Stegostoma tigrinum: one gene and its partners. The protein of the gene in region 2 interacts with the protein of the main gene of each other region in a pairwise test. Links are inferred from orthologs where the notes say so. Each region holds a gene or a part of one and is shown on either strand. Other genes may lie near its edges.

Region 1 (7,767 bases), on a different chromosome or scaffold from region 2:
GTAAGTCCTGTTTTATCAGTTGCCTTGTTCAAGTATGTTCAGGGTTGGCACGAGCTGCCGATGACTGATTTACTTGAGTGCAGCCTCTAGTGGCTGATACTGGTTATATCAAGGTATGCCAGTGCTGCAATGAGACATTAAGCATGGTGTTTTATCTGCCAATATTTGGCCTGCTTTAGGTGTAGGTACAGAGGTCTATTGCTTCTTTTCACCCAATATGGCAATTAATGTACTTGTTCAGCTGAATTTAATACATGAACATCTTGCTTGGCATCTTGGTTGACCACATAGTTCTTGAAAAAATGGATATTATGCAGCTAAATGGTTGAAGTTTACAAATCAAGCAAAGGCATGTCTTTTTTCATCCTAACTTTCTTGTTTTTCATTTTTTCCTTGAACATTCTTACTGTCAAATAAGTATCGATCTCAGCTTTTAAACATTTCAGTCGCACTTCCGTGATATGAACAGAAGAATAAACAAATTGATTTTTCTTTTCCCAATTCCAAGATTACTAAAATGACTCTTACCTCCGAGGAAACTTGTGGTAGTGAGATAATGGTATCACTGAGCAGTCCTAAGTGTAATTGTAGTGTTAGGTCACTTGTGATATTGAGAAAAAATGCAATATTAAGGTCAACTGTAAAACAGAGGCCCACTGTGAAGGTCAAATGTAGTACCAATACTGCGATGTAATGGCATCTAAATCAGCTGCCATGTGTTTTCCTGCTCTTCCTTGAATTTTCTGCATGCCTCATTTAGACATTGGTCTATTTTCACGCTGAATATTTGAATGAATCCATGAAAGCAAATTAATCCCTTAGTTGTTACTAACCACCTGTTTTTTTTAACATGGACTGTTGTGTTTCTCTCAGCTCTGTGGGCTGCTAGTGCCAAATGTCAAACAATTACACCTATTTTGCTTGCTGAAGTTACCATATAATAAATTTTGCATAATCTCAAGAAAGCATGAACCATAGCATGATACAACATAGAAGAAGGTCATTACCCCATTAGGCTTGTGTTGGTTCCTTATAGAGCCATCCACTTGGTCCTCCTCACCTGCCTTTTTCCCTTACACCAGTCAATTATTTTCTTTTCAAGTATTCTATTATCCAATTCACTCATGAAACTTAATATTGAATCTGCTGTTTTCAGGTATTTCAGCTTACTACAACTTGCTGTATTTAAAAAAGTTTCCTTGTTTCTCTTCAATTCACATTGTTTCCACTGGTTCTTCTGACAATCTTTCTTTGGTTATCAAACCTTCTGCCACTAGAAATAGCTTTTTCTTGTTTACTCTAACAAAATTGTTCATGAACATGGATGCCTCTTTCAAATCTCCTTTTAACCTTCCCTGCCTCAAGGAGAAGAATTCCAAGTAGCTGAGTCCCTCTTCCGTGGGCAGTAGGTAATGAGTTATAATCACGAGTGGACCATCATGCGTGGACTAGAGATGGATGGCGAGAGAGAGAGAAAGAGAGAGAGAGAGAGAGAAGTAATTATGAACTGCTTAAGAGCATAGTCAAGGCAGGATCAATCAAGGCATTCAAAATGGATTTGGACTCATGGTTGAAAAGGAATGTGTAAGGTTATGGACAAAAAGGAGGAGAATTACACTAAGGGAATTGCTAGTTTGTAGAGTTGGTACAGATAAGATAGGATGAATGGTCTCATTCTATGTTGTAATGATTCTGTGATATGCATAGCTTGAAGCCCACCCAATCATGTCAAACATGAGCTGAAGCAAAGCAGCATGCTCCCACAAATTAACATAACCAGAAAGGAGAATGATCCTTGTTGCTCTAACTATTCTTCACTGGACTCTAGCTATGTAGTTAAAGATCATAGAATCCCTACAGTGTGGAAACAGGCTCTTTGGCCCCACACATCCACACTGAACCTCAGAGCATCCCACCCACACCCATCCCCCTGTAACCCACCTAATCTACACATCCCTGAACACTGTGGGCAAATTTGGCATGGCCAATTCACCTCGCCTGCACATCTCTGGGCAGTGGGAAGAAACCGGAGCACCCAGAGGAAACCCATGCAGACATGGGGAGAATATGCAAACTCCACATGGACAGTCACTTGAGGGTGGGATTGAACCTGAGTCCCTGGTGCTGTGAGGTAGCAGTGCAAACCACTGAGCCATCATGCTAATTCATCCCATTTCATTGTTGGCCTAATCTTAATAAATCTCTTCTGCACCATGTTCAAGTCTTGATGTCTTTCCGAAATACTCGGCTGAGGCCTGGCTGGTATTATATATACTCTCAGCATTAGCCTCATCAGAGAACCTCACATGCTTTTATCAACAGCCTCAACTTTTCCTGTCATCATCAAAGATTAGTGTGTGCATAACCCTAAGTTGCTATGTTCCTGCGACCTCTTTAAAATTGTGCCATTACATTTATATTGCCTCTCCTTATTCTTTCATACAAAATGTATAATGTCAAAATTTTCTAGATTTGATCTGCCAACTGTCCTCCTATTTCATCAACTGATCCATGTCCTCCCGATTTCTGTTACTGTCTTCTTCATTATTTACTGCATTTCTGAATTTTTTTTTCATGAGAAAATCAAACTTATATTTGGTATACCAAAGTCCAGATTATGAATTGATCTTGAAAAGAGTAGTGGTCTCATTTACAACCTAAGGGGAACACCACATCCAGTTTGAAAGATAACCGTTCATTGCTTTCTGTCCTTTGACCAACTTTGCATGCATATTGGAGTATATTTTCAATTTCATTGGCTTTGATTTCAGTAATAAGATTATTTGGAGTTACTTTGTCAAACACCCAATGAAACTTCATATGCATATTACTTTCATCCACCCTCCCGCTACTTCATCAAAAAACTTGATCATGTTAATTAAATACAGTTTGCCTTTTCAGTTATGTTTATTTATTAGTCATACAGCTTGGAAGTAGACCCTTTGGTTCAACTTGTTCATGCCTACTATATATCCCAATCTGATTTATTAGTCCATATGTTTTGAAGTCTCAATAATTTTGTCTTGGATCATTGTCTCCAACAGTTTCTCCAACACAGATATTAGACTCTCTTGCAATTCATGAATTTATTTGTCTCCCTTCTGTGAACAGGGATATAACATTTTTAATCCACCCATCTTCTGTCACAATCCCAGTATCTATGGAATGTTAGAAGTCTGTGGCCAGAGACTTACTTCTTTCAGTAATCTCACATGCATCTTTTCCAGACTAGATGACTTTTCAATTTTGAGAACTGCCAACCCTTTATGTATCTTCTCTATCTATTTTTATTCTATCCAGTATAACTACTACTTCCTCCCACTCCTACATTGAAAGTATTTTCTCCTCCAGTGAAGACAGTTACAAAGTACTCATTTAGTACGTCAGTCATGGCCACCACTTCTCTAAGTATATTGCTATTTTAGTGCCTTATAAGCACTGCTTTTCTAATTTTTACTGTTTGGTTTTGCTTATAAAATATTTTTAGGTTTCTTTTTATAGCCACTGATGCGTTTACGTACCATCTGACCCCCTTCTTATTCCCTACTTTAAAATCTCCTCTGTACTTTCTGTATTCAGTGTCAGTGCATGGCTGAAATACTGTGCCTGTGCAAAAGGGATAATGTGCAATCTGTTATGAGCAAGTTTATTGCTCCACAACAGTTTCACTTTGAAACTTGTTGTGTTTTTGCTTGTCAGTTTGCACCTTGTCTGCCAGCTTCACGCTATCTAAATTGTAAAAATCACAAATTAAACTATGAGTAACAACTCTGAACTTGAGTATCAGTTCAGCTGTAAATTCGGAATCATTTTACCGCTGATCTCCCTGCATTTGCAGCTAGTATAATAGACTGAAAGTTTTGGGATGGTGAGTGATAAATGATGTTTCCTTGTGTTGAATTTAAAGTCTGGGATTCCTTTTATAAATCTCTCCACTTCTTTGTCTTCCTCTCCTCCAATAAAATGTTCTTTAAAAATCTACCTCTTTGACAAGCACATTGTCACCAGTGCTCTATTGCTAGTTAAAAATTTTGTTTGATAATGCTCTTATATAGTGATTGTCAATGTTTTAATATGTTGTGTGTACATTAAAAAGAGATGCTTTGTTGGAAGTTGTGTTTGAAAACAACCAGGTAGCACCATGTCTCCTTCAGGATTCAGTTAACTCCTTAACACCCAGATATCAAGCTGGTGCTGGACTGAAGAATTAGGGCACTTACCATCTAAACCTTCCCTAACGTTGTACTACTTAAATCTGTTATATTTGAAACTAAACCATCATGGTGACAGTTAGGGCAGATAGACAGAAACTGCTTTAAAAGTGATTGGAAACATAATCAAAAAGTAACTTGAAGAAAAACTTATTATGCAATGAGTTCCAATGGTAACTTGTTCCAGTTATAATGAACCTGAAATGTCCTTTTGCCCAGTTTGCTGCCTAACCTGTTAACTGTTTCTAGCTGTAGAGCTGGATGAACACAGCAGGCCAAGCAGCATCAGAGGAGCAGAAAAGCTGACGTTTCGGGCCTAGACTGTTCAAAAAGAAGGGTCTAGGCGCGAAACGTCAGCCTTCCTGCTCCTCTGATGCTGCTTGGCCTGCTGTGTTCATCCACCTCGTTATCTCGGATTCTCCAGCATCTGCAGTTCCTAGTATCACTGAAACTGTGTCTAGCAGTTCAAGTAGGCCTGTCCATGTGGTCCAGTTGCCTTGGAGATTTGGCGGGAATCCAGTATGACGTCAGCCGAGCAGAGCTGTACCCAGAATCCTTCACGCGATAGCGGGCAGACGCCATTCCGAGTCAGACAGCGCGCTCGGTTTGCTTGTTGTTGCGTCGATGGCGGATTTGGAGCCCACACCCCAGGAGCCTGTAATCAGCAACCCTGAACAGGAGGAGAAGCAAGATGAGAATAACCCGAGTGGTGGTGATGAAGATCAGAACCAAAGGTGCGGTTCTGTGTGAGGGATGGGAGGCCGTGTGGCTATGGCAACGGCTCAGGCTTCAGTTGGGACTGTAGGCCGCGACACCGCGCGCCGAACAAAAGGCCCGCCGTTTCAGGATGTCTGAAATCCGCGGCCTAACTCCGCATTGATCGCTGGCCTGAAGTAGCTCTTAAGGATGTTAAGTAGGAGGAACCGCCCAATTTTATTACTGAATAATATTTTAAATTTTAATTGGTCGTCTTTTCAGTTCTAATATTTGAAGTCGGTTTTGCACGTTGGGTCGAAAATGCTTTATTCTTTAGTGCGCGCGTTTCCCTGAAGAATTAGAGCTGGGTATGTGAATAATTTGAATTCACAATTCAATTACCCACCACTTCACATTTGAGTTAGATGGACACACTCCCGCCCCTTTTTCAGTTGCGCGTGGGCATGCACCATATTGTTTCATTCGTGCATTGTTCCGGAACCTCACCGCACCTCACCCCACATTTGCTTCTGGTCTTGATTCGTTTCTTATTCCATTTTCGCCTCGGCGTCCTATCCCGTTTTTCCTCATAATAACACCGACGATTATGTTGGAACCTTGACTGTAGTTAGCCATTGTCTGTTGTTCTAAAACAGTAACTGGTAAATTAACAGGATATTAAAGTGAATTTTGTGTTGTGCTGCGATAATTTGTTTTGTGGGAAGACCACTGCCTACAGCAGTTTGAATCCAGTGAGACTGTTGATATTGAAACAGTGTTTTGTGCTTCACAGTGAAACAAATGAAGCTTCAGTTCAGAATGAAAAAAATGATAAGCTGAAGGAAAAAAGCAGCAAGCGTGGTGGAAACCGCTTTGAGCCGTATTCAACTAACAGAAATGCAAGATTCCGGGTTTTTGTGAGCAATATCCCATTTGAAATGAAATGGCAAACACTTAAAGATATAATGAGAGAGAAAGGTAAAGTCAGTTGTAGTGTGTCAATTGGAATCATTTCAAAATCTAGTTTTAAATTTTGGTGAATATTGTGTACTAACTGTATTACTTTGTTTTTGTCTTCACTTGATGCCAAACTTTGGTATTGAAGAATAAGCCCCCTTATACAGAAGAAGTGACACCTGGCATTTTAGTTGTGTTCAGTCAATTTTTTAATTAAATGTTTCTTCACAGCTATTCGGAAGGATGTTCGTGAATAAAACAAAATAGGTTTGCATTAGCACCACTGAATTGTGTCAGTATATTGGAAGGGAGGTACAGAATTCTCGGATTGAGTTAGTATCTTCTGAATGTTGATGCTAAAAGTTTAGGAGTTTACAGAAAATAATTTTGAGTTTGTCACATCTGTTCTAATGTTGAGAAGGACAAGGCTGTAACATTGTGTTTTCTGCCATTACTGTTCTGGTTATTGGGATAAGGTGGCACATAAGTTATTGTTTTGTTCTGGGAGCAGGCCAGATGAGAAATCTCATCTAGGGTAGGAATCTCAAGTTACTATTTTCAATGCCTTATTGTGGGTGCAAATTGTGAAATTTTAAATTTACTTTTATTTGAGATCAAATTAACCCAGCTTTTTTATATAAACAACTTTGGTCTTTTACCATTTTTTAAAAAAAAGCCTATTATCTTGAAAGATATTGGCAAAGTAATAGTGTTTGAAATTGAGCAGAGGAATAGTTCCAACAGGGAAAATCTGTCAAAAATACTTCAGATCTGAGAGGAAACAATGTTTGCTGACTAAAATTGCTGCATTTATTCCTAGCAACCATTACCTCTGTAACTGGCTCAATGCATGTGTATGTAATTAGTTCAGGTTGAATTAAGTGCACATTGTCTTGTATATTCTCCACACACTCTTCAGTTGTTACATAATTGGCAGCTTATGTGTAAAATCATGGAAGTAAACCCTCATCCTACTTGTAACAAATCTGTAGTAGACTGCAGAATGTATTTCTATGCTTAACACACACACTTTTGAAAATTGTTCCTCGTCTGTTGGTACAATCTTTAAATGTTTGCACAGTGTAAACCAAAGAACATCTGAGTAACATAAAACAGAATAGTATGGACATTGGCCTGTGGGTCAGCATCCATGAAATCTATTGAATTAAATGCAGTATGGGCTAATCTGTTTTGACCTGCCCTCTTTTATTAAAAACTGTTTAAATGTTCAGTTAAATGTTTACCCAATCTCATGGAGGTCCACACTGAAAGTATTAACCTTTAAAAATATAACTGCAGTTGCTGGAGATCTGAAGCAAACAAATGACTGGGGAATCTCTGTTTTGACAACGTCTGTGTGGAGAAAGCAGTTTGAGTCCAGTGGGCCACTGGGCTCAACGTTAACTGTTTTCTGTGCACAGATGCTGACGGACCTGATGAGTTTCTCTAGCAGCTTTTATTTGTTAACTATGTATATTGCTTTCACAGATATTGACTGACCTGGGTGCTTCTAGGGTTTTCTGTTATGTATCCAGTACCCTTGTAGTCTTCTGATGAATGCTATTTACTCTTAAACATTTTCTTTACCTGAAGAGAACACATCGCAGCTTAAAATTTGACCATGGAAACCTTTTGGATTAGTTCCCGTCTTGCTGTTGTTGCCCCTCAATGATCAAGTTTAGCAATAGAACATTTGAGTATTTATTGTGGCAAGGTGTCAATGACAGACATGATTAACAAGAATTTTTTTTAAAAAGTCATACCCTCTTCAACTGAAATTGATGGAGTAAAATAACAATGGCATAATTACTTGGTATTATCTTGCTGTTTTGTGCGGCTCAGAAAACTTTCCTGCTCTTTCGATGTTGTTAATTGTAGCTTTTAAAAGTTACTTTTTCTTCAC
Region 2 (6,853 bases):
TAAATAGGGAGAGAGGGGAAGGCGGACCGAAGATGGATACAAGAGAGTTGCAATGGGAGAGAGATTCCCTGAGGTTGGTCGGGGGGGAGGAGGGTAACTTCTTCAAGTTAGGCATCCCTGGAAGAGGCTTCAAAGTGAGGTTAAAATTGTGATCAGAGATAATGGGAACTGCAGATGCTGGAGAATCCAAGATAACAAAGTGTGAAGCTAGATGAACACAGCAGGCCAAGCAGCATCTCAGGAGCACAAAAGCTGACGTTTCGGGCCTAGACCCTTCATCAGAGCAGTTCCCATTATCTCTGATCACAGTTTTAACCTCACTGTGAAGCCTCTTCCAGGGATGCTTAACCTGAAGAAGTTATCCTCCTCCCTCCAGACCAATCCCAGGGAATCGCTCTCCCACTACAACTCTCTTGAATCCATCTTCGGTCCACCTCCTCCTCTCTCTCTATTTATTTCAGAACCTTCTCCCCATTCCACTCTCTGATGAAGGCTTGAAAACGTCAGCTTTTGTGCTCCTGAGATGCTGCTTGGCCTGCTGTGTTCATCCAGCTCCACACTTTGTTATCTCGGATTCTCCAGCATCTGCAGTTCCCATTATCTCTGCTGACCATCTCAATATCATGTTTACTTGTAAATGGAGACCCACTAACATAATCAGGATTCAGATTAAACTAGATCTCCTGTCCGACTTGGTGTCTAGATGATTGGTTACTTACATGAGATCGTCGTTACTTTTTATTCATTCATGGCATGTGTGCATCACTGGAAAAGCCTACATTTGTTGCCCATGCCTAATTGTGCTTGAGAAGATGGTGGTGACCTTTTTTCTTGAACCACTGAAGTCTGCTTTATGGAAATATACCCCGAGTATTGCTGGGACCAGAGCTCTGGGATCTTGATCCTTCGATAGTAAAGGATAACAAAATGGTTCATTCATGACTTGTCAGGGAACTTGAAGGTGGTGGTGTTCCTATTCACCTAATGCCCTTGTCCTTCGAAGTAATAGTGATACTTAGTTTGGAACATGCTGTTAAAGGAAGATTGGTGGTTTACTGCAGTGCAAGTTGTAAATGGTACACACTGCCAGTGTGCATTGGAGATGTACAATGGGACTTCAATAAGACAGGCCAATGAGTGGCAGATGGAGTTTAATTTAGATAAATGTGAGGTGCTGCATTTTGGTAAGGCAAATCGGAGCAGGACATATACAATTAATGATAAGGTTTTTAGGAGTGTTGCTGAACATAAAGAGACCGAATGGTGCAGGTGCACAGTGCCTTGAAAGTGAAGTTGGAGGTGGACAGGGTGATGAAGACGGCATATGCTACGCTTAGCTTCCTTGGTCAGAACGTTGAGTATGGAATTGGAATGTTATGTTGTGTCTGTACAAGACATTGGTGATGTCACTTTTAGAATACTGTGTTCAAATCTGGTCTCCTTGCTACAGGAAGGATGTTGTGAAACCTGAAAGAGCTCAGAAAAGATTTACAAGGATGTTGCTGGGATTGGAGGGTTTGAGTTATAGGGAGGGGCTGAGGGGGCTGGGCCTGATTTTCCCTTAAGCATCAGAGGCTGAGGGGTAACCTCATAGAGGTTTATACAATGGTGAGGGGCATGGATAGGGTGAATACACAAGGCCTTTCTCCCAGGATACAGGAGTCTCAAACAAGAGGGAATAGATTTAAGGTGAGAAGGGAAAGATTTAAAAGGGACCTCAGGGGCACTTTTGCACACAGAGCGTGATGTGTGTATGGAATGGGCTACCAGAGGATGTGGTAGAGGCCGGGACAGTTAGAACATTTGAAAGGCATTTGGATGGGTACATGAATAGGAAGGGTTTAGAGGGATATGGGCCAAATACTAGCAAACGGGACTAATCTGTTTCAGATATCTGGCTGGCAAACATGGCACTGGAGGATCTATTGCCATGCTGTACAGCTCTATGACTCTACGGTGGTGTTAATGTTGAAGATGTTGGGTGGAGTGCCCACCAGGCTGCTGTGTCCAGGATAGTGTTGAGATTCTTGAATGTTGTTATTGGGGCTTTGCTCATCCAGGCAATTAAAGATTAGTGTGTCACACTTCTGAGTTGTGCCTTGTATATGATGGATAGGACATGCAGAGACCAAAAGATGACTTACTCTCTCAGACCTTTCAGCCTCTGACTTGGTAGCCATGGTATTCACATAGCTAGTCCAATTCGGTCTCTGATCAGTGGTTAACTCCAACTTCCCCAGGTTGATTGAAGCGATCCATATTCAACCTAGGAGCAGTAGAAAGCCATTCAGCCTGTTGAGCCTCCTCCCCCATTCATTCAAATCATGGGTTGATTTGATTGTGGCCTCAGTTCCTTTTGAATCCCATGTCTGCCAAAAATCTATCTACCTCTACCTCTACTCCACCACTCTGGCCAGAAGTTCATTCCACAGACCCTCTGCGAGAGGAAAAAAACTTCTCATTTACACTTTAAATGGCAGCTTTATTTTTAAACAATGTCACCCAGCTCTCCCATGGAGGGAGACATCAATTTAGCACTCCCTTCGTCAAGTCCTGTCAGGATCTTGTATGTTTCAGTAAGATCATCATTCTTCTAACCTCCAAAGGATACATACAGACCCAGCCTGTCCAACTGGTCCTCATAAGGCATTCCATTCCATGAAATCAATCAAGTGAACTTCCTCTGAACTGCTTCTGATGCAATTATGCCTATTCTTAACTAAGGACAAATCTGCACTCAGCACTCTCTATGTGGTCTCACCAAAGTCCAAAGTAGCAAATCATCTTTAATTTTATATTTTCTATTCACATTGCAATCAATAGCACCAATCCATGTGCCTTCCTAAGCACTTGCTGTGCTTGTGTACAAATTTTCTGATTCATGTACCAGGACACTCAGATCCCTCCAGGCCTCAGGGTTCTGAAATCTCTCCAGTGGTAAATAGTTATTGCTTGGCACTTGTGTGACTTGAATGTTATTTGCTACTTATCAATCCAAGCTACCCAGGTCTTGCTGCGTTTGGACACAGACTGCTTCAGTATACAAGAAGACATAAATGATACAGAACATTGTGTAATCTTCCAGTGCAGCCCCATTTCTGACTTTACAATGGAGGCAAAGTCACTGCTGAAACAACTGAAGATGATTTGGCCAAACACTTTACTCTGATGAACTTCTGCAGTGACATCCTGACACAGAGATGACTGACACCCTGCAACTCAAAGAATTTTCCTTTGTGCTGAATCCAGCAGTCAAGAATTTTGCTCCTGACTCCCATTGGCCAACTTTTCTCAAGCTCCTTGATACCAGACTCAATCACATACAGCCTTGATGTCAATGGCAGTCAATCTCACCTCACCTTGAGTTTAGTGATCTTTCTGTGTTTGGACAAAGATTGTAATGAGGACTGAAGCTGAGTGACCCAGGCAGAAGCCAAACTAACCAAATGAATAAGCATTATTGAACATGAATGAGTATTGCCGTGTAAGTGCTGCTTCACTCTCAATTACACTTTCTATGACTTTGCTGTTGCATGAGAGTAGAATGAATGGCCAGGTTGGATTTGTCCAGCAATTTGTGAACAGGATACACCTAGACAGTTTTCCACATTGCTGGGTAGATATCACCGTTGTCACTGTACAACTTGGTTAGTTTTGGATCACAAGTCTCCAAACTATTGAGAACGTTGGCAGAGTTGGTGACTTTTGTCACATACAGTGCCTTCAGTATTCTCTGATGTCATCTGGAGTGATTTGGTTGAGGACTGGTGGCTGTGATAATGAGGCCCTCAGGGGGAGGCTGAGAGATCACCCACTGAACACCTCTGACTGCTGACAGTTGCAAATGCCTCTCCCTTTTGCACTGATATGCTGGCTCCCCTATTGAGTCTTGCAGTCTTCTGTCAACTGGGGTCGAAGTTTTCCACCCAGAGTACATTTTGTCGCCCTTTGCACATCTTCCAAGTAGTAATGGGACTGGACTAGTAATCCAGACTGAGAACAGAAAGCAGTATCAACTCCCAAAGCCCATCACATTGTCAAGATCAAGCTTCGTGAGCTAATTATCAAAACCTCAAAACAATTAGCTTCTTAAGCTAATTTTTAATTATTCTAAATTATTCGAATAAACGTCTAATATTCTGGTGCGAAATAATATTCATTATTTTATTGTTTTAAATTATAGCAGTCAAATTTAATGAACTTCATGATGCACCATTGATTAAAATGGATCTTTATCATAAACGCTTTGTGTTTATAATGGTTTTACTGTTTTACTTAATATGTATATAACACGTGCGGTTATATTATGCATATTTTAATGAAAAGATAGGTGCAGGAAAATAGATCAAGTGTTTGGTCATTGCAATGCTGCAATTGTTTCTCAGAGCGGTGTTGCCCTGCGCCTTTAACACAAGCAGGCTCCTGCCTCTTTAAAAGTGATGAGTGTTGTTTTGTAGGAAGGGTCCCTTGACGACGCTTCAAAGCTGCGGCTCGAACACGAATTTCCGCGCATTGTCCGAGTCGTGATGAGGAAAAGGAAACGTGTGATCTGGGCTCAGCGCAGTATATAAAAAAAAGCCAGCAGCAGCTTCAGGGCCTTGCAGAGACAAGAGAGAGAGAGAGCGAGAGACAGAGTTGGCGACCCTGCTCCGTCCCCGAACCAATGTCAGCAACAATCGAGAGGAAATCGCTGGAAAATGCAGAGTGAGTTAAACTGCCGGCTCGTTTTCATTTGCGTTGCAAACCGCTGTAAAGGTGTAGAGATTGCACTCGATTCAGTCAAACCGATCAAGGATTGAACAATTTCCTCAAACATGGGTCCGTGCACACAGTCAGACCAGAGAGACACCATCTGATTGTGAGATTTCTAATCATCTCGATATTCTTGATTTCTACGAGACAACATAATGGCCTTACAACTAAAAGAAAAGCCCCTGATCTTAACCACTTGGGGTTTTGAAGATGGTAACATCTTACGGATTGCATTTATTTTCATTTTATTATTTCATAAACTTTACATTGACGCGCCAGAGACAATTCTTCCGCGACAGTCATGTACCATGCATCATTTCAGTTTTGATTTATTGGACATGTTTACTCATGTCTTTTGATCTGAGCAACTTTTAGCCCTTTAGCAGGACGGCGTTGTGGGAACTGTTTGATTCATACTCAATACATGTAAAAACCGAGTGAAGGGCGAGCGATATTCTTCACGGTAACCGCCACCGCGCCGCCCCCCGCAACAACCCCAACCTCCCCAGTTCACAAAGTGTATTTGATCTGCCACTTATCCGTTATCAGCGGACCCGTCACTTCAATATTAATATTTTGGAGCCGCTCTCTCTTTGGGGAATTCTCGTGACCTCTTCATATTTTAAGTTGAACTTCCCCTTCAGCCAGCTGCAAGGGAATGAACCCTCCAGCCATTTTTCTTTCATTTTAAACAAGCATTTTTTAGGCATATTGCTGAAATATGATGGAAAATGTGGTCACAATAGCACTTTTGAATCCGTAGTTTCTGTAATATATTTTCAATGCCAATATGTGAAAAGGACTAAATATTTTGCGTGCTTCTAAGCTGAGCTTCCAATTGAAGAATGCTTTCTAACCATCGTCTGTTTATTTAAGAAGATTGTGTAGCCTTAAACCAACATTGTTCTATCTTACAATAACAGTACATCGCTTATAATAATGCCCCTATCTCACTCATCTTTCTATTATCGATCCCTTTGGGACATCAACTGCTACACTGAAATTTTCAAGACACAGTTGTGAGTATAAGTATTTAAGGAAGCTTGGCTCATGGGTAATACTGTTGCTTTGGAATCGGAAAATTGAAGCATCAGACTCCATTCAGCTCAAAACCCAGACTGGCACTTGAGTACATTGTCGAGTTAGTTAAGTTAAAGTCACTATCGTCTGCCCAGACCGTTGGGATGCTCTCTCATTGAAGAGTGAGAGATGGCTGGTGATCATTTAATCTCAGGTGAGGGGAGAGGGTGAGAAGGAGAGTCTTCATGGTAACCTTAGCTGGTGTGAGAGTTGAATCCATTCTCGTGGTGCCACAGTGCACTGTAAACCAGCCGAGCTAAATGACCCCAAAATAGGAGCACTGTATCATTAAAGGCACTGTTCCTCAGATATAACATTCAAGCAGAGACCATTGGCCTGGTCAGCTGGATGTGACAATATTCTGTTCTATGATTTGTGGAAATGTTGGAGAGTTCTGGCTAATGTCCCTTCAGCCAATATCAAGATTATTTGTCATTTATCTTATTATTGTTGAAATTTTGCTCCTGCACTTCCCTCTGTGACAACAGTGATCAATTCACATAAGAAATAGGAGCAGGATTTGATACATGGAGTCTGCTTCACCATTAAATAAGGTTATGTCTGAGTTGATTGTGGCTCTGTGTCTGACAGCTATCAGAATTTTTGAGGCTATGAAAAGAACTATGCAAATGAATGTGTTTCCTTATGCAGCTTAAAATGAAACAAATATTTTCTTTGAAAGCCTATGACCAAGAAATACATTATAATGATCTTACAAACGAACTTGAAAAATTCTTCGTAAACACATAGAATGGTTACAAAAGGAGGTTGTTTGGTGTTTGAAGCATCTGCTTTCTCTTTGTAAGAATATTTCTTTAGCTTGTTCAACTTTCTTGCCCGTATTCTGAGATAACCCCAAGGAATTCCTGCAGCAGTGCTCTCGGAGGGAGATGATTAACCTCCAACAATGTTTGAGCTCCTTTGTGCTTGGTGTGACTCCACCCAGTAGGGAGATTTCCATGATTCTCTTTTTGTTTAAAGTTTTGCTCAGGTTTTTGATGCCACACTCAATTAAATGCCG
Region 3 (7,577 bases), on a different chromosome or scaffold from region 2:
CCTGCAAGTTTACCCTGAGAGAATCCTAGACTTCACAAAATACTTGAGCTTGATCTTTGCACTGTGTGGGTAACTTATATGCTCAAGTAACAAGCTACAGGAATACTTGTGAAGAATAACTGTCTAAATGATTTGGCATTTTAAACTAAAGTGCCATGGCAGGAGTTTGAAAGAACTTAAAAAGATGTATGCTATTAAAACAAAAGTATACTAATTTGTACTATACCAGGGACACAAAGACCATCACAGTTAAGTAATTTTGCCATAAAATTCATGCAAGTCAAATGCGATTCTACACTGTTTAATCCATCATGGCTGTGTTTTCTCTTTATTTCAAAACACAAAACATGTTGTCTACATTGATAATTTGCTTTAATTTGCCAAGTTATACACGGAAATAGCTTAAACTGGGTTCAAACTGTTTTGTATTCTATATTTTATATTCTACAACAAGTAATTGTCAGAAAGTCCTCAATGATTGTAATGTGATTTTGAATTGAATGTCAAACTTGAAGCAAGATGTATCTTTAAGCTACTAAATTGCTGCAGCACAACCAAACTTATTTTTGTTTTAAATCAGTCATACTAATCAATTCCCAAAGATTTTTCAGTGCCAATAACTGAGCAAGTATTTTTGGGCATGATAGTGATAATGGGAACTGCAGATGCTGGAGAATCCAAGATAATAAAGTGTGGAGCTGGATGAACACAGCAGGCCAAGAAGCATCTCAGGAGCACAAAAACATTTCTGGGCAAAAGTATTTCTGGGCTGTGCTTTATCTGTGCCTTTATTTAGTTTTGCAATTTTTTTTGTTGTGGTGCTCAAATTATGAAATAAAATATCCTTCTAATTTTTTGTTTGAAGTTACCAAATTGTTAGAGCTCCAATTATTTTCAGAGACACTATTAGTGTGAAAATGAAAGAAAAATGGAACTTAACATTAGAATTAAAATTGTTTTGAGTAATTCTAAGCATGAAATATTTAGTGATTACTGAGACAGTCAAAAATGTTTATTAACAACCATTTTGGAGGAGAGATAACTTCAATAACAGGCATTTAAATTTTGACTTTTTAACCAATCTTTCTCTCAATGACTTATCAGATAGGTTTGCACACCCAGCATTTAAAAACAATGTCTTTTTTAAATTCATTCATGGGATGTGGACATTGCTAGCTGGCAAGTATTCAATGCCTGTCCCTAGTTGAAACTAAAGAAAATGGCAGTGATAACAAGGTGTAGAGCTGAATGAACACAGCAAGCCAGGCAACATCAGAGGAGCAGGAAAGCTGATGTTCCGAAACATCAGCTTTCCTGCTCCTCTGATGCTGCCTAGCCTGCTGTGTTCATCCAGCTCTACACCTTGTTATCTCAGACTCCAGCACCGGCAGCTCCTACTGTCTCAAAATGGCGGTGAACTGCTTTCTTGAACCGCTGCAGTCTGCATTTTATAGGTTGACCCAGAATGCTCTGAGGGACGGAATTCCACAATTTTGACACAGCGACAGTGAAGGAATGGTGATATATTTCCAAGTCAAGATAATGAGTGGTTTGGGGGGATCTTGCAAGTGATGGTGTTCCCATATATCTGTTGCACTTGTCTTTCTAGATGGAAGTGGTCATGGTTTTGGAAGGTTTTATCTGAGACTCATGGGTGAATTTCTGTAGTGTATCTTGTAGATAGTGCTATTGAGCATCGATAGTGGAGGGAGTGGATGCTTGTGGATGTGATGTCAATCAATCAAGCAGGCAGCTTTGTTCTGAATGATGTCAAGCTTCTTCAGTGTTGTTGGAGCTGCAGCCATCTAGGCTAATGGGGAGCAGGAGCCTACTTTACTCAATGTATTTTGCAGACCAAAACCAAAACATGGCAGTTATTTTCTACCCATGTCCTTATAATTCAAATGTACTCATGAAATCTACTCATTATCATGTATAAGTTCCTCCAATATTAAATCTACTACAATTAGAAAAGCAAAGTACTGCAGATGCTGGAAGAAACTCAGTAGGTGTGAGCGAGAAACAGTTAGAATTTCATTCCGTCAGTCTTTCCAGATTATGCTGCCAGATATGCTGAATTTCTTCAGCATTCTCTGTGTTTGTTTATAATACCAACATACTAAGTGCAAGTCATTTAAATTTACACCATTGTTTTGAAGGTAGAGTAATGTAAAATATAAATTTTCCTTTCTGGTAAATTTTATCAATATAGTTTCAGGATTGCTGTTTCCTTTTGGAATCTTAACAGATTGTGGGACATTGTTACTTCCCAGCAGAAATTCTCCTCATCAGAGAAGATAGACAACCTGAAAGAATTGCCACTTCAGAACGCGCAGTTCCAGTTTTGGGGGGGTTGGTGTCAGGTAGATTGCAGACAGGAAGGATTCAGTGATGTTAGCGATGGCGTTTGTTTATTGGATTGAATGTCATGAGTAGCATTGGATGCTTGGCACCTTGTCTAAAATGTGTACAAATACTAGGGCTAAAAAAAAATCAGAAAAAGAGTCCCAAGCCAAACTGTCAACTTTCCTGCTCCTCTGACGCTGCCTGGCCTTCTGTGTTCCTCCAGTTCCATACTGCGTTGTCATCTTTAACCCCAACTCTCCTTCATGAAGAACCTCATGTGTAGGACAATCCTATCCTCCCAGGTGGAATTTTTCATTAACAGATGTCTCTGAGTGCTCTGCTGGGAACATATAGACACAACTTAAACAGTCTCATTCCATCCTGTGGAATCTCCAATCCCTAAACTTCCACAGAGACACCTCTAGGTATTCTGATTCAAGATTTCATTTCTGCGTCCTGATCTTTGCTCATCCAGTAAGCGAGGTGTATTTGGGCGCAGGGAATGGGCAGGTAGGAAGATTTTTTTCTGTTATTCTACCTCTAGCCCCTTGAAAGATGATTATTCACATAATCATGGTGGGCACAGCCAAGACAGAGAGTCATTGTGACAGCATGAATCTTCGCGATTGAATACATCCTCAGGCGGATCTGGAGAGGGAGAACTCTGTCTCAAATTGTACCTTAGGACATCCATGAATACTGGGCAACACAAGGTGTAGACTTGAATTGCTTACTTTTTGTTCCCCTCTCCACAGTAGAGATGCTGCCTGCACCTGCTGAGTGCTTCCAGCACTTTTTAACTTTCAAGGGATAGACACCAAAACGAACATCATACTTAAACGATATCAGAGATAATGGGAACTGCAGATGCTGGAGAATCCGTGATAACAAAGTGTGAAGCTGGATGAACACAGCAGGCTAAGCAGCATCTTAGGATCACAAAAGCTGGCGTTTCGGGCCTAGACCCTTCATCAGAAAAAGCTTGAGGTTGGTCTGGAGGGAGTAGGGTAACTTCTTCAGGTTAGGCATCCTGGAAGAGGCTTTGCAGTGAGGTTAAAATTGTATCAAAGATAATGGGAACTGCAGATGCTGGAGAATCCGAGACAACAGAGTGTGGAGCTGGATGAACACAGCAGGCTAAGCAGCATCTTTGGAGCAAAAAAGCTGACGTTTTAGGCCTGGACCCTTCATCAGAAAAGGGCAGATTCTCCAGCATCTGCAGTTCCCATTATCTCTGATACAATTTTAACCTCACCTTCGATCCGCCTCCCCCTCTCTCCCTATTTATTTCAGAACCCTCTCCCCATCCCCTTTTTCTGATGAAGGGTCTCGGCCCGAGACGTCAGCTTTTGCTCTCCTAAGATGCTGCTTGGCCTGCTGTGTTCATCCAGCTCCACTTTTTTTATCGTACTTAAATGACACTTTAGACAATAGACAATAGGTGCTGGAGTAGGCCATTCAGCCCTTCGAGCCAGCGCCACCATTCATTATGATCATGGCTGATCATCCACAATCAGTATCCTGTTCCTGCCTTATCCCCATAACCCTTGATTCCACTATCTTTAAGAGCTCTATCCATCTCTTTCTTGAAAGTATCCAGAGATTGGCCTCCACTGCCTTCTGGGGCAGAGCATTCCATATATCCACCACTCTCTGCGTGAAGAAGTTTTTCCTCAGCTCTGTTCTAAATGGCCTACCCCTTATTTTTAAACTTCATTGCATTAGTCAGAGATTTCTTTTGCTGGTGCTAGACTCGTGCCAACCTTACGGGAAGAAAGGAAACGATATTAATATGCAACACGTCGTTAAGTTGTAATCTTTACAGCCCCATCTCACCTAGCCCTCCCTTAAAGACTTATTCCATCTTCCATATAGCACAGATAAAAAGAATAACGTTGACCCAAGAGGAAGACGTATGAGTAGTAATAAACAATTTATTTTTGATGTCTTAGAACTATCTGTGCTCAAACCAACTGCGCCTTGTGCAGTGGCTAACATTGGCTAGCGTCGCCTCTCAGCATTTTTGCTCTGCCTCCAGCGCCGTCAGTGCATTAGTTTCGATTCTCGCTTTCCTGCCACCTAGGTAGTGCTTCGGGCTCAGTCACTTCTCGGAAACCACGTGTCGCTCTTCCGTGAACCCTCCCTCCCCTCGCGCCTCTCTCCGGAGGGTGGCCAGTACAAGAGCCAGAACATCCGGCCACGCCCACTTCCCCCTGAAGCTTGAATACGCGCCCCCCGTCACCGAAGCGGCCGGCGATTGGCGGAGGGTTGTGTCCATCTGTCTGACTGTCAGCGGGGGCGATCCCGGGGTGCGCACACTTTCGTGTCCTGGCGACTCCGCCCACTCCTGGTCCCCAGGCTTCTCCGATTCTGATGGAAAGCTGCCAGAGTGTGATCTGGTGCTTTTGCAGGCGGACGGGTTCCCTGAGCGTTGCTGTTTGGGTTAGCAGCTGCTGGATTTGTAGCCTCTCCTTTGTCGTGCAGGTAAGTAAGGAGCTCAGGTACGCCTCAAGCAGTGTTCCGGACCCGGAACATTAACTCTGCTAAGTGTCCGCAGCGGCACCACCACTGTGTCACAAGGTGCCCCTTTAAATTTTTAAAGCGATTTCTATTTTTGTTTTGGATCGCGATCACTTCGCACTTTGGGCCTCGGCGAGGTGCGGGGGGACAGAGACCGTAGTTAGTGTGTAGAATGAACTTCCAGATGAAGTAGTGGATGTGGGTACATTTATAACGTTTAGAAGCCATTTGGATGGAAATATGAATGGGGAAGGTTTGGAAGGATATGGGCCAGGAGCAGGCAGAAGGGACTAGTTTAGTTTGGGATTGTGTTTGGCATAGACTGGTTGGACCGAAAGGTCTGTTTCCGTGCTGTATGACTCTATAACTCTGGGTCAAGCAGCATCTTATGATTCTTCTTCATAGCAGTTCTGAAGAGTCATGCTGGACTTAAAACATCAACTCTGTTTCACTTTGAACAGATGCAGCCAGACCTGCTGAGTTTCTGTAGCACTTTCTGTATTTGTTTCAGGTTTGCAGCATCTCCCAGTTTGTCAGCTCAGACAGTTTGAGTAGCCAAAATAAAGTGACACGTGTCCCACAGGGAGCCTTTAGTGTGATGGAGTTGATGGGAGTGATTCACTCAAGTAAATAATTTTTGCTGTACAGAAGGAGACTATCCATCCAATTAAGTGTGTGCAGGCTCTCTGACTCCCCATTCCTGGACCTCAACTTTCATCTCAAAGCTGAAAATGAATGTGTCAGCACCATCCTATCAGGCAGTACCTTCCAGATCAGAGCTACTTGCCTTGCGTCACCTTTGTTTCTTTCAGTGATCTCTTTAAATTTATAATGTTTGGTGTTAGACTGTTCCAAACACCCTAAACCCCACCTCTTCCTCCATTACATTGACTATATCGGCACTGCCTTGTGCTCCCACGAGGAGCTCAAACAGTTCATCCACTTCACCAACACCTTCCACCCCAACCTCAAGTTCACCTGGACCATCTCCAACACATCCCTCACCTTCCTGGACCTCTCTGTCTCCATCTCAGGTGACCACCCAGAAACCGATATCCATTTCAAGCCCACTGACTCCCACAGCTACCTAGAATACACCACCTCCCACCCACCTTCCTACAAAAATTCCATTCCGTATTCCCAATTCCTTTGCCTCTGCCGCATCTGCTCTTGGGATGAGGCATTCCACTCCCATACATCTCCGATGTCCTCGTTTTTCAAGGACCGCAACATCCCCCCCTGCAGTGGTCGAGAACAGCCTTGACCGTGTCTCCCGCATTTCCTGCAACGCATCCCTCACACCCATCCTCGCAATAACAACCAAAAGAGAATCCCCCTTGTCCTCACGTACCACCCCACCAACCTCTGGATACAATGCATCATCCTCCGACCCTTCCGCCATCTGCAATTTGACCCCACCACCAGACATTTTTCCACCCCCACCCTTGTCTGCCTTCCAGAGAGACCACGCTCTCCGCAACTCCCCTGTCCTCTCCACACTCCCCTCCAACCCCACCACACCCAGCACTTTCCCCTGCAACCGCAGGAAGTGCTACACTTGTCCCCACACCTCCTCCCTCACTCCCATCCCAGGCCCCAAGAAGACTTTCCAAATCAAGCAGATGTTCACCTGCACATCTGCCAATTTGGTATACTGCATCGGCTATACCCGTTTTGGCCTCCTCTACATCGGGGAAACCAAGCAGAGGCTTGGGGACTGCTTCGCAGAACACCCATGCTCGGTTCGCAGTAAACAACTGCACCTCCCAGTTGCGAAGCATTTCAACTGTCCCCCTCATTCATTAGATGACATGCCCATTCCTGGGCGTCCTGCAGTGCCACGGTGATGCCACCCGAAGGTTGCAGGAACAGCAACTCTTATTCCGCTTGGGAACCCTGCAGCCCAACTTTATCAATGTGGATTTCACTAGCTTCAAAATCTCCCCTTCCCCCACTGTATCCGCAGTCCCCGCCTCCCTAACCTGTTCTTTCTCTCACCTATCCTCTCCTCCCACCTCAAGCCGCATCCCCATTTCCTACCTACTGACCTCATCTTGCCCCCTTGACCTGTCCGTCCTCCCCGGACTGACCTATCTCCTCCCTGCCTCCCCACCTACACTCACCTTTACTGGCTCCATCCCCGTACCTTTAACTTGTCTGTCTCCTCTCCACCTATCTTCTGCTCTAACTGTCCTCAATCCGCGCACCCCTCCCCCCCCATTTATTTCAGAACCCACTCCCCCTGCCCCTTTTCTGATGAAGGATCTAGGCCTGAGATGTCAGCTTTTCTGCTCCTAAGATGCTGCTTGGCCTGCTGTGTTCATCCATCTCCAGACTTTGTTAGCTCTTCATATCGACTATGTCTAGATACCATTGTTTTGAACACCTCTATCTTTCTCAAACCTCTATCTTTCTCAAACCAGATTGTATTTTAGGAAATTTGTGGATTGTTTAAAATAAAATGTGAAGCTTCATCTGACCTTAGTTTTTTTTAGATGTTTGTGGCATGTGGTCTTCAATGGCTGGGTCAGTAATTATTGTTCATTCCCAATTGTCCAAGTGAATCTGGTGATGAATTGCTTTCTTGAGCTGCTGCAGTCCTTGAGATGCAGAAAGGGCAGGTTTTGTTAGGAAGGCAGCACCAGGACTTTGACCCAGTGATGCTGAAGGAGCAATGATGTAGTTCCAAGTAAAGATGGCATGTGGCTTGG
Region 4 (7,583 bases), on a different chromosome or scaffold from region 2:
AATGCTGTTCTGATTCTATGTTACTTGTGCTAGTATCACACAATACAGTGCCGTCTCCTAAGTCTGAAGATGGATCTTGTCTCTTGTGACAATCCTGTCACTTTAAATTGCCCTGGGTTTTTTTTAAAGAACGGTTGTGAAGGCAGAGGTGGTGACCTGGCTATTGAAAACAGCTAAAGTAAATAACTTAGAAAGTCTTTAGGTTTTATTAAGAACAGTTGGAACAATGGATGGGGAGTGGCCAGCTCTCTCAAACCAGGCTTTCTAATTTTTTTTTAACTGTAGCAGTCAGAAGCCGTTTGGGGTCCCAGAAGTGTTGAAAGCTTCAGTAAGTGATTCCTAGCTGCTGCTTTCTCTGAAATCTCTTGATGTTGTTTCCTACTGGATTGGAGAACTGCGTGTAAGAATCTGTGTCTGAATTTACCTTTTTGCCACAGGATGTGTTTTTGGAAATGTTGTTGTATTGGAACAATTAATTATTAATATGTACTGTATCTATTATTCAGTTAAGTCACTCTAAATTCCTCTTTCTTTTGTTTGTATTTTAACTATAGTGTTTAAATAAATTGTGTTTTGCTTAACATCAAGTAGTTTGACCAGTTGCAAAAACCTGGAAACACACACTTCACATCTATCTTCAAAATAAGAAAAAGTTAACAGTTTAGGCTACCTTCTTAACATGTTTTGAGACAGTCTGGTCTCGTCTGGTCAACAACACATAACAGGGACTGTGCAGTGATCGTTCCCACCAATACTGTTAAGGACAAATGCATCCGCAACAGGTAGATTAATGAAGATAAAGTAAAGGAGGTAACCCCCAGTGTTGGTTCTCTCATTAGCTACTGCGAGCCCAGTCTGAAAGCCTGTTCCTCCAAAATTCTATCACCTCAGTCAGTGATGGTGCTAATGGGCTACTAATCCTGATCAACATTGAAGTCCCCTTTCAGGATGACCAACTTGAAGGAAAAAAAATACAAGGTATGCTTTACTGGAGGAGTTGATGAGACTGGAGGAGTAGGGGCCCATATGACTGGAAGGAGAAGGAAGCTTCAAAGGAAAACTTTATGCAGTTTCAACAAAGTCAAGGGGACCAATATGACTATCTCAGTTCACAGACGTTTACCATCACGACATATTTCATATATTTTACTTAGCCTCCCTCCTTGATAGTATGTGTTGTCCCTCAAAAGGCCGCATACTCCTGATACATCACATTGCTGCCCAACCTCCCTCCCTCTCGCCAATATTAAAGCCCCTCTCTGCAAATTCCTAACCCCATCTTCAAGGGCCTGCTAGTAAATTCTCTTTCTGGCCTTCAAGTAAACTCTCCATCAGGCCTGCTCACCTTTTAGGTTTGCCAGATACTTCTTCAAGTCTGTCAGCTCTATCAGGGTACCTGGTCCCTATGTCCAATCAGGTCCGTGTGAATCTCACCCCATCTGCAGGTCTGCCTTGATCCTCCTCACCCTCCAGGCCTGCTATCCTTGATTCCAGAGTTGAGAGAGCTGGATTGTGAGGAGAAACTGAGCAGACTGAGATTATACTCATTGGAATTCAGAAGAATGAGGGGAGATCTTATAAAAACATATAAGATTATGAAGGGAATAGATAAGGTGGAGGCAGGGAGGTTGTTTCCGCTAGCAGGTGGGACTAGAGGGCAAAATAAAGGGAAGCAGATGTAGGAGTGAAGTCAGGAGGAACTTCTTCACCCAAAGGGTTGTGAATCTGTGGAATTCCCTGCCCAGTGAAGTGGGTGAAGCTACCACACTGAATGTTTTTAAGGCAAGGCTAGACAAATTTTGACCAGTAAAGTAATTAAGGGTTATAGTGAGTGGGCAGGTAAGTGGAGCTGAGTCTCAAAGGTCAGCCATGATCTTATTAAATGGTGGGTAGGCTCGAGGGGCCAGATGGCTTACTCCTGCTTCTAGTTCTTGTGTTCTTATCCCAAACAGCACCTGGACCTGACCGCTGCTGCCGCCACCACCAACTGTCAACACAATATCTCCCCATCCCCAAAGTTGGGCTTGAGAGTTCTGCAGCTGCTGGCCTCAACTCCTACCCCACACCAAATTACCTCTGGATCCCTCCAAACTCAGCCACCCGTTTGCCAAACTGATGTGACTCTGGGAAGAGTGAAAGATAGCACACTTGTTTACTTCTTTGTGTCTGTATGGACTCGTGTTTATGTGTGCACACTTTGCTGACTTTGGACTGCCCATGTTAATTCAGCAAAATACTCAGGCAGCAGCAAGAGGTGACTTGAGGTGCCTTCTCAGTCACTGATTAGAGGAACCGGGGAAGAATAGCATTTCAAATTAGCTTAAATTCTATATTTAGGAATGGAAGCCAAACTGACACCATCCCTGAAAACTTGGAAACAAAAATCAAAATAACTCAAAACACTATGTCTGGCAGCATCTGTGGAGGAAAAGCAGAGTCAAATGTTTTGTGTCCAGTGACCCTTCTTCAGAACCTTCAGGGTTCACACCATTGGTGAGTTTGAGGACGAGGACCGACACCGCAGTATAGCATTCTATCACAAACCTACGCATAACCTTACGGTGCCACACTTCTCTAGCTTCCACCAGAAACCTATTAAAACAACCATCCCTTATGGACAAACCCTACACATACACAGAATCTGTTCAGATAAGGAGGAGTGAAACTGAAACCTAAAGGTGTTGAAGGACACCCTCATAAGAACAGGATACAATGCAATACCCATCAATAGCCAGCACCGACATGCCACAGTGAAAAACCGTAATGCCCTCCTTAGAGACAGACGTGGGATACATCTGACACAGTGCTCTTTGTCATGCAGTGCTTCCCAGGAGTGGAGAAACTCTGCCACGTTGCTCACAGCCTTCAATGCATTATCAATGAGGATAAGCACCTCACCAAGATCTTCCCCATGCCTCCACTTCACGACCTCAAACAACTGCCCAACTGTAAACCATTGTTCGCAGCAACTATCCAACCTTCTGGACAATATTGATGACAAGTCTATACAACCCTGTCATTAGTAGCTGTTGTAAGACATATCAGATCTTCAACATGGACACTTGGGAGCACGTGGGAGAACTACCCACCGTGTGCCTGGCAGATACTCACGTGACTCAACCAACAGTGTTTATCTCATATGCTGCAAGGAAAGATGCCCCAAGGCATGGTACATTGGCGAAACCATGCAGACACGACAACAACAGATGAATGGACACTGCACAACAATCATCAGAAGGAATGTTCCCTCCCAGTCGGGGAATACCTCAGCGGTAAAGGACACGTTAAGCCTCGGATCTTCAGGTAAACAACCTCCAAGGTGGGCTTTGGAATACACAACAATGCAGAGTCGCTGAACAAAGATTGATAGCCAAGTTCCATATACATGAGGACAGCCTTAACTGGGATCTTGGGTTCATGTTGCATTACAGGTGACCCCACCACACTCAACTCTCTCTCTCTCACACACACACACAGTCTCTCTTTCTATCTTCCCTCACACATAAATACACACACTTTCTCTCTTTCTCTCACACTCAATCTTTCTCTCCCCCCTTCCCCCACACACACTTTCTCTTCCCCATTCCCCCAAACATACAGACTCTGCCTCTACCCCCAAAACACACACACTCTCTCTCCCCCTCCCCCCCCCCCACACACCCAAACACACCCCCCACACACTCACTGTTTCTCTCTTTCTCCCCAACTTCACTCACACACACAGTCACCCTCTCTACCCTACCCCCAAAACGTCAGCTTTCATGCTCCTCTGATGCTGCTTGGCCTGCTGTGTTCATCCAGCATCACACTGTGTTATCTCAGATTCTCCAGCATCTGCAGTTCCTACTATCTCTAAACAAGGTCCTACACCTAATATGCGTTGTGTGACCTAAAATGTCACCTCCTCTGTATACTGCAAAGATCTTTATTTCTCTCAGGACCGTGTCTTGAAAGGAATCTGGCGATTTACATATACATATTAATCAATTAAAACCTTCTAATTGATTTAAAGATTTAGCAGCATCTTAAGATTTGTTTAGTCCATCCTCAGTGGTGTGACCTTTTGATCTTTTACTTATAAATTCAATGTCTGATACTACCTATTTCACTAACACCTGAAGAAGGAGCGACGCTTAGAAAGCTTGTGATTTCAAATCAGCGTGTTGGACTCCTTTTCTGATGAAAGGTCTAGGCCCGAAACGTCAGCTTTTGTGCTCCTAAGATGCTGCTTGGCCTGCTGTGTTCATCCAGCCCCATACTTTGTTCTGTTGGACTACGACCTGGTGCTGTGTGATTTCTGACCTTGTCCGCCCCAGTCCAACACCAGCACCTCCACATGATTTCTGCAGATGCTGTCAGAGTTGTTGAGCTCCTCCAACATCCGCGGTTCTTTGTGTTTATTATCCGAAGAGTCTGGTCTGCGCTGCTGTTGAACACTGGCGTGTCACAAAATGGTTAAACATTAACTGTGTTTCTGTCTCCACTGGCGGTTTGAGCATTCCTCCAGCAGTTCCGAACTGTTCTCCATCGTTTTGCTGGGATGACGCCGAGTCAGCCTGTGCGCGGTCTCCATGGTAACCGGTCCGGTTGCCCGGATGTGGTGACGTGCCAGCCGCTGTCATGGCGGCGGAGGATGGGTATGGTGGCGAGCTCACTCAGCATGTGGTCGAATTCGTTGAGAAAGAGTTTGGAGACGATCCGACATTATTAAAGAAACTCCCAAAAATAATAGAGGAGCTAGCGCTGAGTAAAAGAAACCTGGAGGAGCAGGTACTGCGCCTGGGCCTTGTGGAATCCACTTGGCTTAAATAATTTCACGGTCTTTCCTCCCCGAAACGTGCATCAAAATAAATGCCATGCACACTGTGAATAAATAAATTTAAAACCCTAGCTTGAGTCTCAGGTATAAGACATTAGGTCTTTATTGAAATTGGAAATGTGCTAAGTATTTCCTCAATGCTAGTGTTTCGCTATTGAAATCACTACTTTTGAAAGAGAAATTGCACGCCTGGTTTATGTCTCGATCAAAGGAGGATAACTGGTTATCTCTCTGGTCAAAACAATGTGCAGTTATTGAGCGGACCTACCAGTATTTACCGTCGCTCATGTCTGGTATATCTGAAATATCTCTCGTTGTCCATAATGATCGTTTCAACAGAACAAAACATTAGCTTTCATCGAATATACTTAGACGTGCACTTTTCATACTAAGGCATTTATAAAATGGTGCCTTGTTGATCTGTATAACAATTTTTTTCACAAATTTGGAATGCCAAAACAGATATTAAGCTGTCACTCTAACTTTTTTTGCCATGTGTATGTGTTACTCAATATTTGTCATCCGTCCTGAGTTGAGCAGGAAGAATCAAACCAGATTGCTGTATGACGGAAGCCATTTTTTGGTTAGACTGTGATTATGTTTGTCGTAATATAGTTGAATTGTCAGGTTTATAGTGACCAACAAGCTGAAGGACCACCTGACCGGCAAAACAAATAGTCAGTCAGCCACTTGTTATCTTTTCTGTTCCTATTTCCTTATGTTGCCTCTAAGCAATGTTGCATTCTGGCCTGTGAGCCCGATAAAAAGAAGAACAGTAGTCCGAATGCTCAAGTAAATTTCTACAGCAGTCCTAGTGACACTGTGAAAGTGATAACTGAAGAACTTGGTTTGGTTTAGCTGCTCATCAGTCGTTTTCACCAAATAGTTGAACCCAATCAATAAACAGCACTACATGGCTTCCATTTTAGTTTTGAAATGTGCAGTTTTCTGTATGTGGGTGATTTAGTAACGTCCAAAAGTATTCAACACTCATTTTGATTTATTTGTTGAAATAAGCAATTGTAAACAATAGGACATCATTGACATAAAATGAGAGATTACAGAAAGTGTGGCCATGAACAAAAATTTTATTCAACATCTGGATGCTGTGTCTGGAAATCGCAGATGATTGATTGTAAGCACTTAGGGAGCAGAAGTCAATATGTAGAGATTTTTCCATTCTTCTCCATACTGGAATGTCCTATTTGTATCAATTCTAATAAAAAAAAGAGTTTGACCATTGTTTTTATTTAAAAATAAATTAGAGTACGCCATTAGAAACAGAGATCTTTACTTAGCAGTCTGTCACCACCATTTTACAGTAAATGCAGCATACTTGCTCTATGGATTACAAAACCCTCTTGAAGCTGTCCTTCTGACTCTAAGCATATTGATCTTGATTGCTGATGGTTTAAAATTTCATATCTAAAAAAGATTGTGCATCTGTTTATTTAATTCTCCACATATTTTGTATCAAATGGCAAATGTCATAACCTGATGACCACAGGTTTGACAAGTATCAAAATCCTATAGGACCATGCTGAACTCGAGCAGAGACACTTTGATTCCAAGTGAACCACGTGACTATTTACAACAATGCGTCATTCTCATTTGGTATGGCAGAATTTGAAATTAGCGAGTTGCTATTTCAATAATAAATTCTGAATAAATTAGAGGCTATAAAGGCCAATTGTGGTTTGGTACATTACCTATTTTAATTCTTGGTGACCGCATGATTGCTAGTAGAATTTTCATTGCGTAGTTTCAATTTTTATACAATGTAATGGTTGAAAAGAAAACCTTTTAATGTTTAAATCCATTAGCATAAGAAATGGAAATAGTAATGTGCCGTTCAGCTTTTTTGAGCCTGCCCTGACATGTAGTGAGACAGTGGCATGTCAATAACTTCTACTTCAACTTTGTTTTCCCACCCTATCCCTTGTCCTTTCATTCTCTCAATATCAAACAACAGATCTCTAACTTGAATATGATCAACAACCAAGCAACCATGACTCAAAGATTCACATCAAAGTATCTTGGATTACGTTTGGGAAGTGTGGAACATTCATTTTGGGTGCGAGGTCCTTTAAAATTATCTTACACTGCGACACACGTATTAAATTAAAGTGGCCAACTTGTGCACATCGAGCAGTTGAGGGGTAACATGGTTCATAGTGCTTTGAATGAAAACCTTCTCTACATCTCAATCCTAAATGGATATTCCCTTATTCTCAAGTGGTGAACCTTAAACCTTCAATCTCCTTAACGAAGGGAAGTATCCTCACAATATCTCGTTAAGCCTGTTGGGCAATTTCTGTTACAATTTGATCACCCCCTAATCTTCAAAACTCTAGGATATATAGGCCCGCTGTCTTCAATCTGTTCTCATCATACATTAAGACTGCAGAACCCATTGTTGTACTTACTTTAAGCATGTATATCCTTTATTGGGCATAAAGATCAAAACTGTATTCTGGGTGCAGTCTCAATGAGACCCCTTTCAATGTAATGGCTTGTTTATTCTTATACTCCAGATGCTTTTTAGTACAGATTAACATCTTGTTTGCTTCTTAATTGCTTGCTGTATTATTGGTTTACAGATACATATGCCAGCCCAGTTGGTGCTGTTGTGGCACAGTGGTAGCATTCCTATCTTTAGGCCAGAGGTTTGGATTCAAGTTCCACTTGCTCCAGAAGTATGTCATGACATATCTGCACAAGATAACTAAAAACAAAACTTCCAGTTCCTCTGATTGTCAACATT

The links.
Region 1: the proteins of lmo2 (region 2) and heterogeneous nuclear ribonucleoprotein M-like interact in binary tests that used the Homo sapiens proteins (3 or more experiments, as listed by UniProt). The link is inferred for Stegostoma tigrinum from reciprocal best matches to the Homo sapiens genes LMO2 and HNRNPM.
Region 3: the proteins of lmo2 (region 2) and signal transducer and activator of transcription 1-alpha/beta-like interact in a two-hybrid assay, tested with the Homo sapiens proteins (2 studies listed by BioGRID and IntAct). The two-hybrid records come from large-scale screens. The link is inferred for Stegostoma tigrinum from reciprocal best matches to the Homo sapiens genes LMO2 and STAT1.
Region 4: the proteins of lmo2 (region 2) and rint1 interact in binary tests that used the Homo sapiens proteins (3 or more experiments, as listed by UniProt). The two-hybrid records come from large-scale screens. The link is inferred for Stegostoma tigrinum from reciprocal best matches to the Homo sapiens genes LMO2 and RINT1.

Annotation. Positions count from the first base shown.
Region 1 is NC_081383.1:27,415,026-27,422,792, reverse strand, and holds the start of heterogeneous nuclear ribonucleoprotein M-like, read left to right. Parts: upstream 1-4,755; 5' UTR 4,756-4,835; coding exon 4,836-4,945; intron 4,946-5,700; coding exon 5,701-5,885; intron 5,886-7,767. UniProt on the Homo sapiens protein: Pre-mRNA binding protein in vivo, binds avidly to poly(G) and poly(U) RNA homopolymers in vitro. Involved in splicing.
Region 2 is NC_081370.1:45,064,553-45,071,405, reverse strand, and holds the start of lmo2 (rhombotin-2), read left to right. Parts: upstream 1-3,842; 5' UTR 3,843-4,052; intron 4,053-4,457; 5' UTR 4,458-4,663; coding exon 4,664-4,704; intron 4,705-6,853. UniProt on the Homo sapiens protein: Acts with TAL1/SCL to regulate red blood cell development. Also acts with LDB1 to maintain erythroid precursors in an immature state.
Region 3 is NC_081360.1:35,651,834-35,659,410, forward strand, and holds the start of signal transducer and activator of transcription 1-alpha/beta-like, read left to right. Parts: upstream 1-4,573; 5' UTR 4,574-4,830; intron 4,831-7,577. UniProt on the Homo sapiens protein: Signal transducer and transcription activator that mediates cellular responses to interferons (IFNs), cytokine KITLG/SCF and other cytokines and other growth factors.
Region 4 is NC_081378.1:22,456,514-22,464,096, reverse strand, and holds the start of rint1 (RAD50-interacting protein 1), read left to right. Parts: upstream 1-4,583; 5' UTR 4,584-4,620; coding exon 4,621-4,770; intron 4,771-5,889; exon of another isoform or gene 5,890-6,035; intron 6,036-7,583. UniProt on the Homo sapiens protein: Involved in regulation of membrane traffic between the Golgi and the endoplasmic reticulum (ER); the function is proposed to depend on its association in the NRZ complex which is believed to play a role in SNARE assembly at the ER.